2 linked regions of the Neodiprion lecontei genome follow. The main gene of each other region encodes a partner of the protein of the gene in region 2 in a complex. Links are inferred from orthologs where the notes say so. Each region holds a gene or a part of one and is shown on either strand. Other genes may lie near its edges. The genes, in order: electron transfer flavoprotein subunit alpha, mitochondrial; probable medium-chain specific acyl-CoA dehydrogenase, mitochondrial.

What was found.
Region 1: the proteins of probable medium-chain specific acyl-CoA dehydrogenase, mitochondrial (region 2) and electron transfer flavoprotein subunit alpha, mitochondrial are in contact, whole or in part, in a crystal structure (PDB 2A1T), measured with the Homo sapiens proteins. The link is inferred for Neodiprion lecontei from reciprocal best matches to the Homo sapiens genes ACADM and ETFA. Residues at the interface, in NP_000007.1 of Homo sapiens: Pro163, Lys173, Pro211, Gln232, Arg235, Glu237, Val251, Glu253; in NP_000117.1 of Homo sapiens: Arg223, Lys226, Arg249, Asp253, Ala283, Ile284, Gln285, Glu304.

Annotation. Positions count from the first base shown.
Region 1 is NC_060266.1:26,573,050-26,580,977, forward strand, and holds electron transfer flavoprotein subunit alpha, mitochondrial, read left to right. Parts: upstream 1-1,658; 5' UTR 1,659-1,756; coding exon 1,757-1,798; intron 1,799-2,058; coding exon 2,059-2,391; intron 2,392-2,491; coding exon 2,492-2,944; intron 2,945-3,097; coding exon 3,098-3,274; 3' UTR 3,275-4,738; intron 4,739-6,431; coding exon of another isoform or gene 6,432-6,437; 3' UTR 6,438-7,243; downstream 7,244-7,928. Other genes in the region: 6-pyruvoyl tetrahydrobiopterin synthase, read right to left, coding at 548-825, 933-1,012, 1,094-1,161. UniProt on the Homo sapiens protein: Heterodimeric electron transfer flavoprotein that accepts electrons from several mitochondrial dehydrogenases, including acyl-CoA dehydrogenases, glutaryl-CoA and sarcosine dehydrogenase.
Region 2 is NC_060261.1:7,228,812-7,236,673, forward strand, and holds probable medium-chain specific acyl-CoA dehydrogenase, mitochondrial, read right to left. Parts: upstream 6,049-7,862; 5' UTR 5,905-6,048; coding exon 5,881-5,904; intron 5,851-5,880; exon of another isoform or gene 5,832-5,850; intron 5,743-5,831; coding exon 5,664-5,742; intron 5,479-5,663; coding exon 5,311-5,478; intron 4,248-5,310; coding exon of another isoform or gene 4,147-4,247; intron 3,710-4,146; coding exon 3,609-3,709; intron 3,246-3,608; coding exon of another isoform or gene 3,145-3,245; intron 2,663-3,144; coding exon 2,582-2,662; intron 2,188-2,581; coding exon 2,057-2,187; intron 1,776-2,056; coding exon 1,667-1,775; intron 1,593-1,666; coding exon 1,452-1,592; intron 1,372-1,451; coding exon 1,099-1,371; intron 910-1,098; coding exon 757-909; 3' UTR 543-756; downstream 1-542. Other genes in the region: syntaxin-6, read left to right, coding at 6,843-6,877, 7,714-7,862. UniProt on the Homo sapiens protein: Medium-chain specific acyl-CoA dehydrogenase is one of the acyl-CoA dehydrogenases that catalyze the first step of mitochondrial fatty acid beta-oxidation, an aerobic process breaking down fatty acids into acetyl-CoA and allowing the production of energy from fats.

The sequences.
Region 1 (7,928 bases), on a different chromosome or scaffold from region 2:
TAATTGAAACTTATTTTTGGGCGAAGCCCCCCGCCCAAAACAAAAAAACAAATTATAGAACTATTATAAATTTATTAAATTAAGAAAAATCTGATTTATTTATTATTTTCAATTATTATTAATATTTATCGTAACGTGACAATTTACAAAACGAAACGGTATATTTTAACGAACGTCAAAGTATCGCTCGCACGTGTCAATGCTAAGAGAGTGCCGCAGAGATGGCGCGCGCGTATATACCTTGGAATCGCTCGTATACTCTTATACATTCCCGCACGCTCAGCTACATCCCCGTTCGCTCAGTTGCATTCCCGCACGCTCTTGTCAACGTGTGGGAAAGCGGTACTTTGCGAACGCAAATGCATGCGCAAAATCGAACTTTGCGCAAGATAATAGGAAAAATTTCTTAATATCATTGATTAAGTAATAACGTACTTAAATTGTTGATCTGTGATTACTGTCATGTTCTCGAAAATATATTATTTCATATGCACATAGGCATATGCGCCCCTTTATAAAACGAACTCTTATCGATTGGCTCCAATAATTATTCGCCTCTATAAATTACAATATTTTTATCAGTTTCATATATTTTTACCTCGTACAATAAATCAGGTTTGGGCATTTCTTTCTTCAATTCATCGAAGACAAAAATAGCTACATTCTCTGTTGTCGAAACAACGTGCTTGAAATATGGCACATCTTTATCCAAATTTTTATGATCTAATTTATCCATCAACACATTTTTCATGTAAATTTTCAAATCGGAAATATTCATTACCATTCCAGTTTTTTCATCCACAGGACCTCGCACTGTGACCTCCACTGAAAAAAGAAAAAAAACATGAGTTGTGTATCGAAATTTTTTAATTACGCATTGAACAACTATAGTAATAATTATAGTACTTCAAGTAGATGCGTATGTTTTTTACCGGTGTAATTGTGTCCGTGCCCCCAAAAATTGTTACACTTTCCGTAAACTGCTGCATTCTGCTCGTCGGTCAAGTGTGGGCTTAAAAAATTTCCACGTTATTAATTAGTGGCATGCGTGCTTAATTATTGCGTCATCATTCATTTTTATATTATCGAATACCTATGAAGGCGATGGCAAGCAGATATTGTTTCTTTCCTGGTCAAATACACAACCGGCACTTGCGTCATGTCCTATTTATTTTAGATCGATATTATTACTTATTGTCGCACGTGACAACACGTTAAAGATGCTGAAGATTTGTAAGGAAAGTTCAAGGTGGCCTATGGCTGATTGAAAAAATGATCTGCGTATGTACAGTAGGTACATATGCTTATACACGTACGTGATTTACTTTTTATTATTTCGCTGGCATTCCCGACGTCGCAATATCCTGCAGTTGATTGATCTTGCTAAATCTGATTTCACAGTAATTACAACAGCGTTCGAATATTACATTAATATATGCTAGAATTGGGTAACTAAGTAGATACAGCTGGCGATTCACAGCTAGTTTTATTCACCGACTCTTTGCCGCCATGATGGAAAAAGTAGAGCTAGAGACCTCTGGCCGAAGCCCGTCGGTAAGCCGTAAGAATATCGTCATCACGTACGTATGTACCATATATCGGTCTATGTACATACATAAAACAAACTTTGGACTTGCCTATCAACTTTGCCACCGTGCTCCACTTCTTGCAACGCACAACAGTCGAGTGAGAAGTATTGCAAACTGAGACATATTTGGCAAACCTTATTTTCGTCAACCGTTGGAATAATTTCAAAATGTTTGTCAACTGTTCCCGTACGATCAGACACAAAACTCAGGTGAGCCAAACTTCAATGAAAATTGATAATTGATCAGTGCACAATTTCAAGTAGGTTGTATTAAATTTTTAGCTTCCTCTATCTTTACTACAATACTTATATAACAATTTTCTATTATGTTAATTTGATTGCCTCATCACGAGATTGATGTAATAAGCGAACCGTATCTCTTTACTCAATTACCTGATATGTTAAAATAATGTTTGGTTGTTTGAGCATCTAGGAGTTGGCCAAGTTTTATGTGAATTATCATCTTCCAGCTGAACAGTTTTTTGCAAAGATATCAATCGACTTTGGTAATTGCTGAGCATAATAACGAGGCTCTGTCGACGATAACCCAAAATGCATTAACCGCAGCCAGGCAAATCGGTGGGGATATCACTGTCTTGGTTGCTGGCACAAAGTGCGGGCCAGTAGCGGAGGCTGTATCCAAAGCTAACGGCGTAGCTAAGGTTTTGGTTGCCGAGAACGACGCCTTCAAGGGATTCGTCCCTGAAGCCATAACACCGCTGATATTAGCTACCCAAAAACAGTTCAACTTCAGCCACATTCTCGCAGGTGCCACAGCATTTGGAAAGGCTTTGCTGCCAAGAGTGGGTAGACAAATAATGAATAATTGCAGATACGAACAATATCCAGTCAGGGTGTTCGATAACTGAAGTTTAATATAAATAAAGATAATATAAATTTTAGGTAGCCGCCAAACTAGATGTTTCCCCGGTGAGTGATATAATCGGTGTTAAATCACCAGACACGTTTGTGAGAACAATATATGCGGGCAATGCTATACAAACTGTGAAAGCTAAGGACAGCGTAAAAGTTGTTTCTATTCGAGGGACTTCTTTCGAGGCAGCGCCTCTAGAAGGAGGGAGCGCCAAGCTAGAGCCAGCACCAGCGGGTGATTATAAGTCTAATTCGGTCGAGTTTGTAAAGCAAGAACTGACAAAGTCCGACAGACCAGCGCTCGCTTCTGCCAAAATTGTCATCTCTGGTGGGCGTGGGTTAAAATCCGGGGAAAACTTCCAGCTTCTGTACACGCTTGCCGATAAAATGAACGCAGCCGTTGGTGCTTCTCGTGCCGCAGTTGATGCTGGATTTGTACCGAATGACTTGCAAGTTGGACAGACTGGGAAAATTGTAGCGCCGGTGAGCTTACACAGATGTTCTGTTGAGATAATATTCCAATTTGAAAAAATTATACTCCATCCCAGATTGCTGAGCGATAGATAATTTTTGATTTAGTATGAAATCGATAAGACTTGGGAGGCGTCAAATCTATGAAAACGGTTTTACTTGCAGGACCTCTATGTCGCCGTGGGTATCTCCGGAGCGATTCAGCATCTTGCTGGAATGAAAGATTCAAAAACAATCGTAGCGATAAATAAAGATCCGGAAGCTCCTATTTTCCAAGTCGCTGATTACGGCTTGGTAGCAGATTTGTTCAAAGTGGTACCAGAGCTTACCGAGAAGGTGTAAATTACGCAGATACTAACGGCGTTGTTTCAAAAAAGGAAATCAAAATATCTTCCATAGGATTCGGTCATTAAACAAAGTTATCTAAGTCTTGTATATTTCAAAAAGCTACCAAGTTTCCGTGTGAGTACTATTTTGACAAGCGCTGTCTCTTATAGTAATTCCTATAATATTATTACATATCGTATCAAATAATATTTACACATTGATATGATTATCGCATGTTTTCTCGTGAGAAACGATGACTGGTAATTCGAGAAATAGTTGTGAGAACTCGAGCTCCTTTTGCAAATGCGTATCTTAACAAAATGGAAGATTACTTTATCATATAATAATGTAAATCATTCTTATACATACTTTTCGCTACAAAGTTGTGATTGAATGCGTTTATATAGTATGTCCAAATGTACAAAGATTATTCTCAACTTTTATACTTGAAGCTAAGAATTTGTTAAATGCTATAAAATAACTGACGAAAAAAATCTAGGTATATTATTTCAATAAATCTTTATCCGTCATGCAATTTCTATGGCATTGTTAGAAACTACGTAGAACTTTTACGAACGTAGAATTTCATCAGTGACAGGCAATGACCGGTTTGATATTTATTTCCATAAGCTTGGACACTTAGAACCACACGGTATATGCAAGCACAACGAATAGAATAGACGTCGAGGAGATTGTAGGTAGGAGGTAGAAGTCGGTAGGCAGAGGAAAGCAAAACAACGCGGGAGAAAAATTCTGCATGCGGATTGCGAAGGTCGTCTTTGTTAAAGTACGTTGCACTTATGCCGCATCATTGTCGTAGTTCCCCGTATATCGTATATGCACAGGCATACGTGTATTCCGCTCAAGCGCGTGCGCAAGGGGAGGAAGAATAAAATGTAAAACGAAATTGCGAAAAGAGCTTGCAATATGTTCGTAAGTTATCATTTTCTACCCAGTAGTCGAATCAAATGAAACTTGATCAACAAACGCGATCGGAACAATGTGCGTATTTACAAATTGGCAAGTCAAACCTCTAAAGTTCTCAGTTTGCAATACTACAAATTTTTCAACCTCTGTTACTACTCTTTAAAACTCTGTAGTAATAAATAAATGAACAAGCAAACCGTCCGGAGAGAAGTTGGAGAAGGTTAAACACGAGGCAGAAATCTCTTGTCAATGCCGTCCAGTTTGCAGATTTGCCAATGCTCTCACGCATTTCAATGCACATATATGTACCACACGCGCACAGTCTTGCGCTTTGTACGTGTTGCGCACAATGACGAACAAATTTAAGGTGGTGACTCGTGGATAACGTTAGGTAGTCGTGTTTAAATGAAAGGGAAAGCGCAGTTTGTGAATCGAGTCTCAGAACGAAGTTGAAGCCCGGTGCTCCTGCAACTGGCACCTGCGCAGTTCTACGACGCAGGTCGCAGTTCTAGTCCCGGGTGATTGAAAGTCGGCTGACTTATTCGATTTATGGTAGGTACACGTGGTTTATCCGTTTCTTCTATTTCTATTTCTATTCTTCCTCTCAGTCTTCACTCATCTCCACCTTCGACCTAACGTCTTCACCCCATTGTCAAATGTCATATCCACATGCGTGGTTGAAAATATTGCGATTAATTATAAAAAAAAAACATTTTAGTGTGAACTATGATTCTACGTGTAGGTAGACGAAAATTTTCGATCAAGTCATAGAAACAGATTTGCTTCTTGGGGTTAGGTGCGTGCTTTGACCCGCTCTCGAGTGTCGAAGTTTTGAATAATCGCAGCTTTTCTTCAGTCATCCTTGAATGCAACTAATGTTTGTTTTAGAACGCTTTACTGCAATCTGGGTAATTCAGCCGGGGAAATTTTCTAAATCTTCGCTTTTGTTTCACTCACCGCTGCGTAGATCGCTTGTGCCAAACAGGTTTTTATTCCCCAAGGTCGTGCGGCTTCCTATCTTCCTCGCGTGTTTTTCACTGTATTGTTATTTTTGCCGAGTTGATGGCGCGGATGTATCTCGGGCCGATTACATCAGTTTAAATGTTGACGAAACGCCGGACCTAATACTGATTCAGGTTTGGAGGTCATCCGTAATCATTTTTTAAACACAAAAGTCTCTCGCAACTTTGTGCTCATCTCACAAATTCATACCACAGCCGTCACTTCAGTCGTGAAAAAGTTTAGCAGTTTCGGATAACCTGCACGATTGTAATTCATCGCTATTGAAAGTAAGTCAGTGAAGTTGGTGGCCTTGTACTCTCAACGTGATGTAATTTCAAAGTGTGTCAGTTTGACTCGGCGTTGATGCTGCAGTTTGAAATTGAGTTTGAAATCGTCCCTCGCCTCGTGTCATTATTCGATAACCGTAAATTCCGATTCGCTTTGTTCGTATATACGTACATAACTCTCTTGACTGTCTCTCGACAATGCATGCGGCCAAGTTAACGAGATTGCGGCAAAGAAAGTGAAATTTTTCCAACGTTTGCGCAATCGACCCGTAATAGGTCTATTATTTAACTTGGGATTGTTGTAAAGTTGATCAAATACAGTGCTCTACCTGATTGTCAGCTTACTCATCTCTCCGTCGTACAGGTATCCCGTCGAAAATAACAGCATTACTCTATACTTGCGAGAGGCCCAAACAATTCGAGCCAGTTCATGTCAAGCGTAACAGGTGCAATAACATCTACTTTGCATTGTCGAGTGTGTGTCTTACCCCGGTAAAATTGACGTCACGTTATTAATTGCAACACAAGTTGTGAAATTTGCATAACGCGGAAGCTGGAATATCTTTCATTTAGCTTGTGATTCTTGCCAGAAATTATTTGAAACACCGAAGCGACTTCCATTGCGTCTTTTATACTCTTCTATTCGTTCTCGTACATTGCATATGCCGTAAAAAAGTGAAAACAACTCCGAATATTGTAGGTGCCTGTGTGTGTCTGTGGTATTTCAAGTGAGTTGTTCTTCCGATGCTTCATAATTTTAGGAAATTTGTAAGGTATGACGAACCAGCTGCACCTCCCATTATTTCCACTCACATTTTAGTCAAGTTTCATATTCTCGTGTAGGTAGACGAGAAAAATGCGATAGCTCACTTGAAAATTACGACAACAATTTAAAGTAATTATTATGTTGTTACTGCAGATTCAAAATGATTAAAATTTGTTGTAAATTGTTTCAGAATTGATTAAAATTGGATAGGAGAATATTTCAGTGGACAATGAACCGGAGGAACTTGTATAAACAGTAAAATACATAGAAATGGCTGTGAAAATTTAGACGTCGTCGCCCAGTTGAACGGAGACGTCAGAGCATCATATCGCATTTAATGACACCGAGCAACAGGGGCGGGGGGAGGGGAGGGAGTCCTTTAAACGTCAACGGCGAAGATTAGTGGTAGGAATTAAGAGTGGTAGGATAAATAAGGATCAAAATAAGCAGCGAAACAGTACATATCTACGACAATCAAAATGCTCGAGCCAGTGATAGGAATATCTCCAATTTGGTGGCTACTAGCTTACGCTAGCGTCTTGTTATTACTATCACCTTTGGTTTTACTTGTAGTATTGTTTTTGCCAAATTTACCGATTCTTGTGCTGAGAAGAATGTGTTACATACCAGTGGAGCCGATATAACCATTTCACTGAAGCTATAAGCGATCCCGAATGGAAACAAGCCTTCAGTGTAGGTATCTACCGGATTCCTAGATACACATACTGAGTTTTTCAATAGATTGACGAAATCTGCAGTAAACTCTGCTCTCTGCAGTCCCTGGACATTGAAGAAAGTGGTGTTAACTCGATCTGCATTCAAGATAGAATCGTACGCGATAATCCATGTAATACAAGATAGGTTTGATATTACTGCACTTAATATTAAACGTTTGTACACAGATTATGTAAATATTCGTGTAAGATATTGCTAACTCCAGTTAAAGAAAAAAAAACGAAGAAAATATATTTGTGTAAAATAAATCATTTATTGAAGATCAAACGAGCAACAATACTACCTGTTTCATCTTTGGAAGGGGTCGATCTTTTTTTGAGTATATCTCAGGAAACGATTACGATTGATTCACGACGACCTCGGAAGTGATTTAAAACGGGTTTGTAAATGCATTTTTTTCGGATCTTTCGAGTATGCGTCATATCCTGGTATGCACGATGCGTGACATACATCAATATATCTATACCCATAAATTGTATACTTCTGTATGCGGATTTTCAATATCTATTCTCGCTTTGTCACTTCGCATTTACGGTCAATTCTTTCAATGCGTTATAACCGGCCGAACCGGATCGCCAAGAGTCGTAAAATTATTTTTCACGTATCATCGCGTGGCCGTAACTCGGAGACAGTGAACCACGCTCGCATACACCACAGGCCGTGATGGCCAAGCTAACCTCATCGTCCGCTACCAAATGGAATATCAACTAGCCTGATATTATTAGAGCAGAATTTTAAGAGCCATTTAGAGATTCAGAATCTCCGAATCGGTATTTGTGAAATTTTTCGAATGTCTCGATTTCTTATGCACGAAACAAGCCGTCGGAAATATATTAATAATATGATGATTGATAACAGGTGAGAATAGGTAATTTACGGGACCACTGCTATGTAGTTTTAGCCTTCAGCCGTATTAAAATTCAATTATTCAAGGTGACCGCTGTCTCTTCCG
Region 2 (7,862 bases):
AACATACGCGCGTCGTTCGAATGATTTCGTTTTTCACCTTGTTTTGCTCTGTTTCTTTCTCGTCTTGTCGCGTATATGTTTAAAACGTAACCGTTGCTGGCGTTCCAGGGTATTCAATGAATTCTATGAACATTTTCAACTGCGTTCACATTAATAATTTCATATGAAGCAAAAAATAAAATGTCCGGAATAAATTTCGAGGTATTTTTCGAAAACAACTCTCCACTGTAATCCCATATGAACATTAGAGATATGACTCATCATTCACCCCGCGAAACCTTGGAGAAATGGACTATAAAATACAAAATGCAAATTCCAGGATCACGAAGAATTTTACGGGAATAAGCAAATTATTTTACAAATACGTATAGATGATGCTAAAGTTGTCAAATCTAATGTCTCCTAAATATTGTATATTATACAGTCTACGACACGGATGAATGAAAAGTGATAAAGATAAGGAGAGAATATATTTACAATTTGAAATGGATTAGGAAACAGGTAGAGAATAATTTACGCTTCAGAAGTAAACTTCAGTCAAGTAAAGAGAATAAAAAATATATATTTTTTGTGAGCCTTATTTCACTAAACGCCCATATTTAAGACACACGCTATTTCATTAGCATTATGAATTCTGTAAGAAATTTTGTATGTACAATTGTATTGGTGGAAACAATGATGCATTGAGAATTATCTCAGCATTCTTGGTGCAATGAGATATTATTATGATTTGTACATGTGATTGATATGATTTGATCATTTACCACCTTGTTGAGCCTCTGACAATAAAGCACGTGATATAATCATTCTTTGAATTTGAGCTGTACCTTCGTATATTTGATAAATCTTAGCGTCTCTCATTAGTTTCTCTACAGGGTATTCAGTGTTGAAACCACAGCCGCCAAATATCTGTAAAGAATCACACGTTGATACTTGGTGATTATACCTATTGGTGATTAAACACTAAGTAGTTTCAAATCAAACGTAAAAAACTGAATTCTACGTTCAACTTGCCATTTTGTACTTATGGATATGAATAAAAACTTTTTACGCAATGCTTATCGAATATACAATTGCAATTCTGGACTTGTGACAAACCTGTACTGCATCTGTGGCGCACTTATTAGCCACGTCTGCGGCATAACATTTAGCAATACTGGCTAGAAAGGTGTTCCTTTGGCCGTTATCGACAGCCCAAGCAGCTTTCATCCAAGCTAGCCGAGCTGTTTCGATTCCAATCGCCATATCAGCCAACAGGAAAGCTACTGCCTGATGTTCGGCAATGGGTTTGCCGAAAGTTTTTCGTTCCAGAGCATACTTGGTAGCTTCGTCCAGTGCTCTTTGCGCCAGTCCAACTGCACCAGACGCAACCTTGCAACGATGAAATAGTTTTCAAAGAATATGAAATTCCACGACAGAATTCTATTGAAGGAAAAAAAATAAACAGTTACCGGAGGACGAGTTTTGTCAAAAGCTCCCATTGCAATCTTGAAACCTTGACCCTCACCGAGCAAGACATTCTCCTGTGGGACACGTACATCTTCAAATGTGATCATGCGGGTATCAGATGCTCTTTGCCCCATATTCATTTCCTGAAAGTTTTATCCCTGAAAGTTACTTTTCTAACCGTGGGGTAACAAGTAAGTCATCCGATCATTAAACTTACTTTACGTCCAGGAGTTAGACCCGGTGTATCCCGCTCGACGATGAAACCAGTAAATGCCTTACTAGTCGGTGCTTTAGGGTCTGGATTAGTGCGAGCCAGAACAAAGTACCTATGAAAATGGAAAAATTGAATAGGATTAGAGTTCTTTTAATTTTGTATTATTAGTAATAAACTTCACATTAAATCAAAAATGCCGTTATAAACAAAGTCATGGATTTTCAGGAATATCAACTCTCTTACCACCATTCCTTTTGTCACAATTCATTCTATTAATCTATTCATTCAATTATTTTAGGCTGAACTGAATTTCAAAGTGCTTAAAATTGTACTTGCTAGATTGTAAATACACGTAGTTAAATTTAAGGAGTAAATTTCTACCCTCAATATTACCAATTGGCAACACCGCCATTTGTTATCCACATTTTAGTGCCATTGATAACCCATTCATTTCCTTTTTTCTCTGCTCGAGTTTTAATGGCGCTTACGTCAGATCCAGCCCCAGGTTCGGTTACACAGTAGGCCTGCCATGAACGAATCATTATCAATTTATTCACTTACTATCATAGCCTGAAGAGTTCAAGTTATATCTTGGAACTCGTGGAATATGGCAATTGCCGACCCTTACAAAAAGTAAATTCTTCAATCACACAGATTTCCAGCAAATTTCTCGCGATATCTACACGCGTTCAAAGGTTATTCACAAGTCTCAGTACCTTTGATCCACTCTGTATGAAATGTGTAGCACGAACCTTGGTATTCAAATTGTGATGTGATTGAAAAAACAACCGAATTAAGAGATGAAAACATTTTTCATTAATGAGTTTCTTATGTTGAGTATTAAAACACTAGTAAATTAGTATATACTATGCATAGAAGAATGACACACTCTGGTTCTTGAATAGAAGGGTAACTTACCGCTAGAAGTGGTTCGTCAATGAGTCTTCCCAAGTATTTCTTTTGTTGTTCTTTAGTTCCAGCAATAATCACAGGCATTTGCTATGAAATCAATTTTAACACATATTTAGGAAATACGGAATGTACTTTAAAACAGCAACAACAAGCGCAATAATTTTAATGTGACTAAGCAAAGGTTGTGCTTCAGTAAACTGATATACAGATGAACCTCATTACCAGATTTAAGGACATAATAGATGGTGCATAGACATTCTCAATTAAGCTGCAGCAATTTCTTACACAAAACAGAAGAGACAGAGAGCATTTATTTTCTTTCCCTACTTCGGATCCTCATATGCAAAAACTATTAAAATTAGAAGATGAAAATACTATAGAGTGAAATTTTGGCAATAAAGTTTAAAAAATATAAATTTGCTCATTCAAGACTGCACTGTAATTTACTGTGGAAACCAGTATGAGAGTATTGTTGATCGTGGTGAAAGGATGTTAATGTTTAGAATTAATTCATAAGTTAGTCAACAGACAAAAAAATTAGTTTTCGATCGCGAGCAGAATGAACTTACGCCGAGACCTGATCCCTCCATTGCAGTCTTTATCCCTGTACAGCCATAGGCAAGCTCTTCCGCCACCATGCAACCGTCAAAAATACCACATTCTAATCCTCCTGGAATGTACCAAAAGCCATTTAATGTATCACATGTCATGGCTATTTTGGCATATCGCACGATTTTCGTTTCAATCTCGAAACTTCTCGTTATTGGGTAATGTTTTTTCCCTAATATATCTATTGGACCCACATGTCAATAAGTAATTCATAAAATATTTGATATCGCTTCGATGCTCCCATACAAGCCTCCAAATGTAAAGTAGAACAATACGTAATTACTAAGTAAGATAACCCACCAAGAAATCAACACTGATATTAATGATACGATGAATGACGTCCAACTCCCTTCGGCATGAATCCATATATCAGCTCAAGAACAATGAATTGCGATGGAATGTTACATTCACAAATGCCACTTACTCCTAATTTTGTGGATCCAATGCCACTAGCAATACCAGAGCATCCGTATGCAAGTTCCTCTCCAATCATACAAGAATCAAACGTATTCATTCCAATACCACCTGAATGTCAAATTAGTACTGTATACAATGTTACAACATTGTTCCATCTATTGCTATGCAATGAGCAACAAGTACTATGCTCATAATTTCCTATCGATAGTATTCTGTTTGTTTTGTTAACATAAGAATTCATAACATTGAAACATAAGATTCATTCAGTAATAGTGCGTAATAATAAAATGACTGAGGACATAAAAGTATAGTCGCCATGATAATGTGATGGACTGAACGTCACGGAAAGCCTGCAGAACTGTCGTGAGTATTAATTAACACTTTGTAGAAAATAACTATGTCAACTTATATAATTTGGTAACAATCGGAAATCCACAAAAAGCTGAAAGAGGATGAACTAACGAGCCTGGATGAAACGAGCTGACTGCTCCATAAGCTTGGATCAAATTTTTAAGAATTCTTTTTCATCTCCGGCAGGAACTTACTCCTAAGTCTGTGGATCCAAGACCACCAGCTATACCGGAACATCCGTATGTGAATTCCTCACCAACCAGACACGTCTCAAAAATACCTATTCCCATTCCTCCTGAAGATTCAATTGTAATTGAAAGTGACCGTATTAATTTGGCTTTGAGAGAGAGCAAATTGGTTGTATAATTGTACGATTCCATGTTGATTCCTCATTCCCAATTAAAAATTGAGTATGAAGTAGATACTTCTTTTGATCTTCTGTTTTATTTGACTGTGGTAAACTATCAGCAATTATTATTATATAATGGACAATTTCGTATAGTTGTAAAAACGATTCATTGCGGTATTTTGGCATATGTTAGGATACAGCACAGGAATTGATGTTGAGAAATGCCGTTTAATTGTAGTCTGGATGAATATTTTGCAAAAAAAAAAAAAGGAATGCAGATATTTAAACGAACACAAGTTTTAGAATTCGAAAAGAAATTTAACTTTCGTTATACCACATACAAAAAAACTTGTATCTGATCTTGAACAAGTGTGTGAATTCTCACATTTAAAATAAAATTTTCAACCATCCATGGTAAACCAACATCAAAATATACTTAATCTTCTGATACATTATCAAACATATGGTTCAAATATCTTGACCTTGTTATTGTTCAAATATTATTGTTTTAGCATGACAAATCATTGATTAACAGATATCTTGCAGAGCGATCATGTACCACTATTCTGATTAGATAAATATTACTGCAAAACAGATTGGGGCACGTTTGATTATCAGAGATATAAAATAATCGCACATCACTATGGGTTAAAGTTCAAAACAAACTTACCATCCTAATTATTTCAATTTGGAATTAGCAGTTGTTCAAAAGGTTCAAGATTCAATATATTAAATGGTTGAAACGCTGAACGTTTATCTGAATGGAAATAATAATGGGATTATACTATGCCAGATATATTGGAAAAACTTTGAACTGTGTACAAACAGTATTTGTCAGAATCGATACGAATCGATAGATTTGTTATCAAATTTGTAGAGAAATTGGTTGAAAAAACTTGTGTGGTATATGTTGCTTCAATTGTCATTCATTTGGATGCCCCCAGCTTCAAATACACGAAATATCATATCATCGGAAGAAAATTCTTAGCCAAGGATATTTTGAACATACCGCAATGCTGTGGAATGTGTCCGTTCATGAGTCCCAGACCCCAGGCTTTCTTGACAATTTCCCATGGGAATTTTCCAGTTCTATCGTGCTCCGCAGCTACAGGAATTATTTCTTCTCTTGTGAACTTCCTGGCAAGTTCCTGCATTTCTCGCTGCGTCTCAGAAAGCTCTGAACAAAAAATATAACAACATTGCTTCGGCACTAATTCTGTACTCAGAGTTTAAGTAATCAGAACAGTTTTATTTTCTTCGTAGAAAGTAAAGCATATGCAGCTTGACATTTTTCCCATTGGATTACTCATGATACTAAACTGTTAAAATATAATGTAATTAATGTCAAAATTTAATACTAACGGAAATTGTAGCCATTTGGTACTGCAGCTTGAGAAGAAAAAGACCTGACTGCTGCTTGTCTCACTGACCTACTAATCACCTGCAATTAGACGAACAAATGAAGGAAAATAGTTTGGAATATCTGATGACGATGCAATTATCCCTACTAATATTTTAAACCGTGCGTACAGTCTTGAATATTAGTGAAAGCACACAACGTTCGACGGGGAAATTATACCTGGCTCAAAGACATCCTGAACATAAACGAGTCGATCGACGTTGGAGAAACGATTGAGGTGAGAGTCCAGCTACAACAGTTCAAAAGTTTTGAAACTCGAATGGACTTTAACCCAGAGATAAATACAATCAGCGGACAACGGTGATGGCCTACAATGACCAGTTTTCCATCTGGAGCTAAATACGTATGTAAACTGGTATAACCCAGTATAACCAGAATTGGATTGGAGCAATCTCTTGTATCAAGGCTGTCATTGGTTAATTCATTTGAACTTGGCCGGATTTAGCACTAGATGGCAACGCAGTTGATAACCAAGTATCACATTTGGCAAGAGCATCCAATATACCGCTAAGCGGTGAAAAGCGCGCCTTTTAAAAGTAGAATGCTTGTACTTAATGCGGAGCAATAAGTGCCTTGGAATAAGTGAATGAGATGTAGTGAAATACAAGTAAAAATGAAGTAATTTCTACGGAAACATGTCAAAATAACTTTTATATCTGATGCATGAAAGTCTAAGCTGTCTATCCAATTGTCCGTTTAACGCATCGGGGAGTTTTTAGAGCTGGCAGCTGATTTCAGAACGCACCCTTAGCTACGTCGATTTGTAGAGCTTACAAACACGCGGTATATTTGAGAACTCGCGTTTCGGCCAATCGAAACTCGCGGCTTGTGGCTTGAGCTGGGTCGAGCATCGATCGTACACTGCCATCTAGAAGATCTTTGTAAGGGGTAAACGTCAAAATCGAATAAATAGTCGTCTGCAGTGGCAGACGTCATAATACACGACAGATGAGTAGAGTGGGGTGCGAGCAAGTGTCAATTTGATTATTGTTGTCGGTTTGATATAACAGTGCGGATTACAGTCTGTTATTTACTACCGATGATTGAGAAATTACGCTTAAAAATTTTTGCGGGTGCCACGGGGAGGCGAGAAGGGCCACCCTTTTAATTTCGGGGAAGGAATGACGCTGGAAGACCCCTTCTTTGTCGTCAAGGAGTAAGTTCACAAAATGGGGCTGACGTTATCAATATTTTCTTTGTTTTCTATACTTCTTTTATTCACACTTCAGCTCAAATACGCTGTTGCATCTGATATACTGTCAAATCACCTGGTTTACTTTTTTCTAAACAACAGGCAAAATTGTCATTCATCATTTACTATGTTTGTCAATACACGCGTTTCATGTGTGAGAATCTATTTAAATATCTCGGAATAAATTGCAGCACACGTTTTAAATTTTCGTAAACCGATATGTAAAATTACAAAAATTATTTTTGTCGTTTCTTCGTGTTCAAAATGTATCTTAGCATTATATTTCGCTAATGTTGTTAAAAAATAGCTGCGCTGCTTCTTGACAAAAAACGAATAATCATTATCAATTGTCTTCGTTAATATTGAATAAGGTCGTATAGTGTATACTCTGTGGATTTGCAACAATTTAGATTCGTATTATTCTTACTATTATCGTCATTTACAATCCCACAACTTATACCCTGCACTTAATTATTAAACATATTAATCGAAAATTCATATGTTCACAATATTTGAAACGAGAAATAGATCAAGAGTATCAACTGTGAAAAATTTTGTAAATATATTGAATAAATGTCAACAATGTTTCGTATTCGAATTCGAACCGAAACACAGTAAAATATTTTAATTGGTTTCCTTAATAGATACACGGGTTGTAACCGATGTAAATAAATAATTTCAAATGAAGCAAATTTATGGAAGAATCAGAAAGTTACATGGCTACGATCTGGTTGAACAATTTAAATAATTTTTATGTAGTTAAATTTTGTAAGGATGTAAAACAAAAAGTTGTCGTTTAGCGAGGTGTGCAAGGCTCTAAATAAAACACGAGCATTATACGGGCGTTGGACAGAGTTACAAGATGGGTCGAATGCAACAACAACTCCAACTGTAGTCGGAGGACTTCCGGTTTCGCGTGAAGAACTTGAGTGGACGACCACGGAATTGC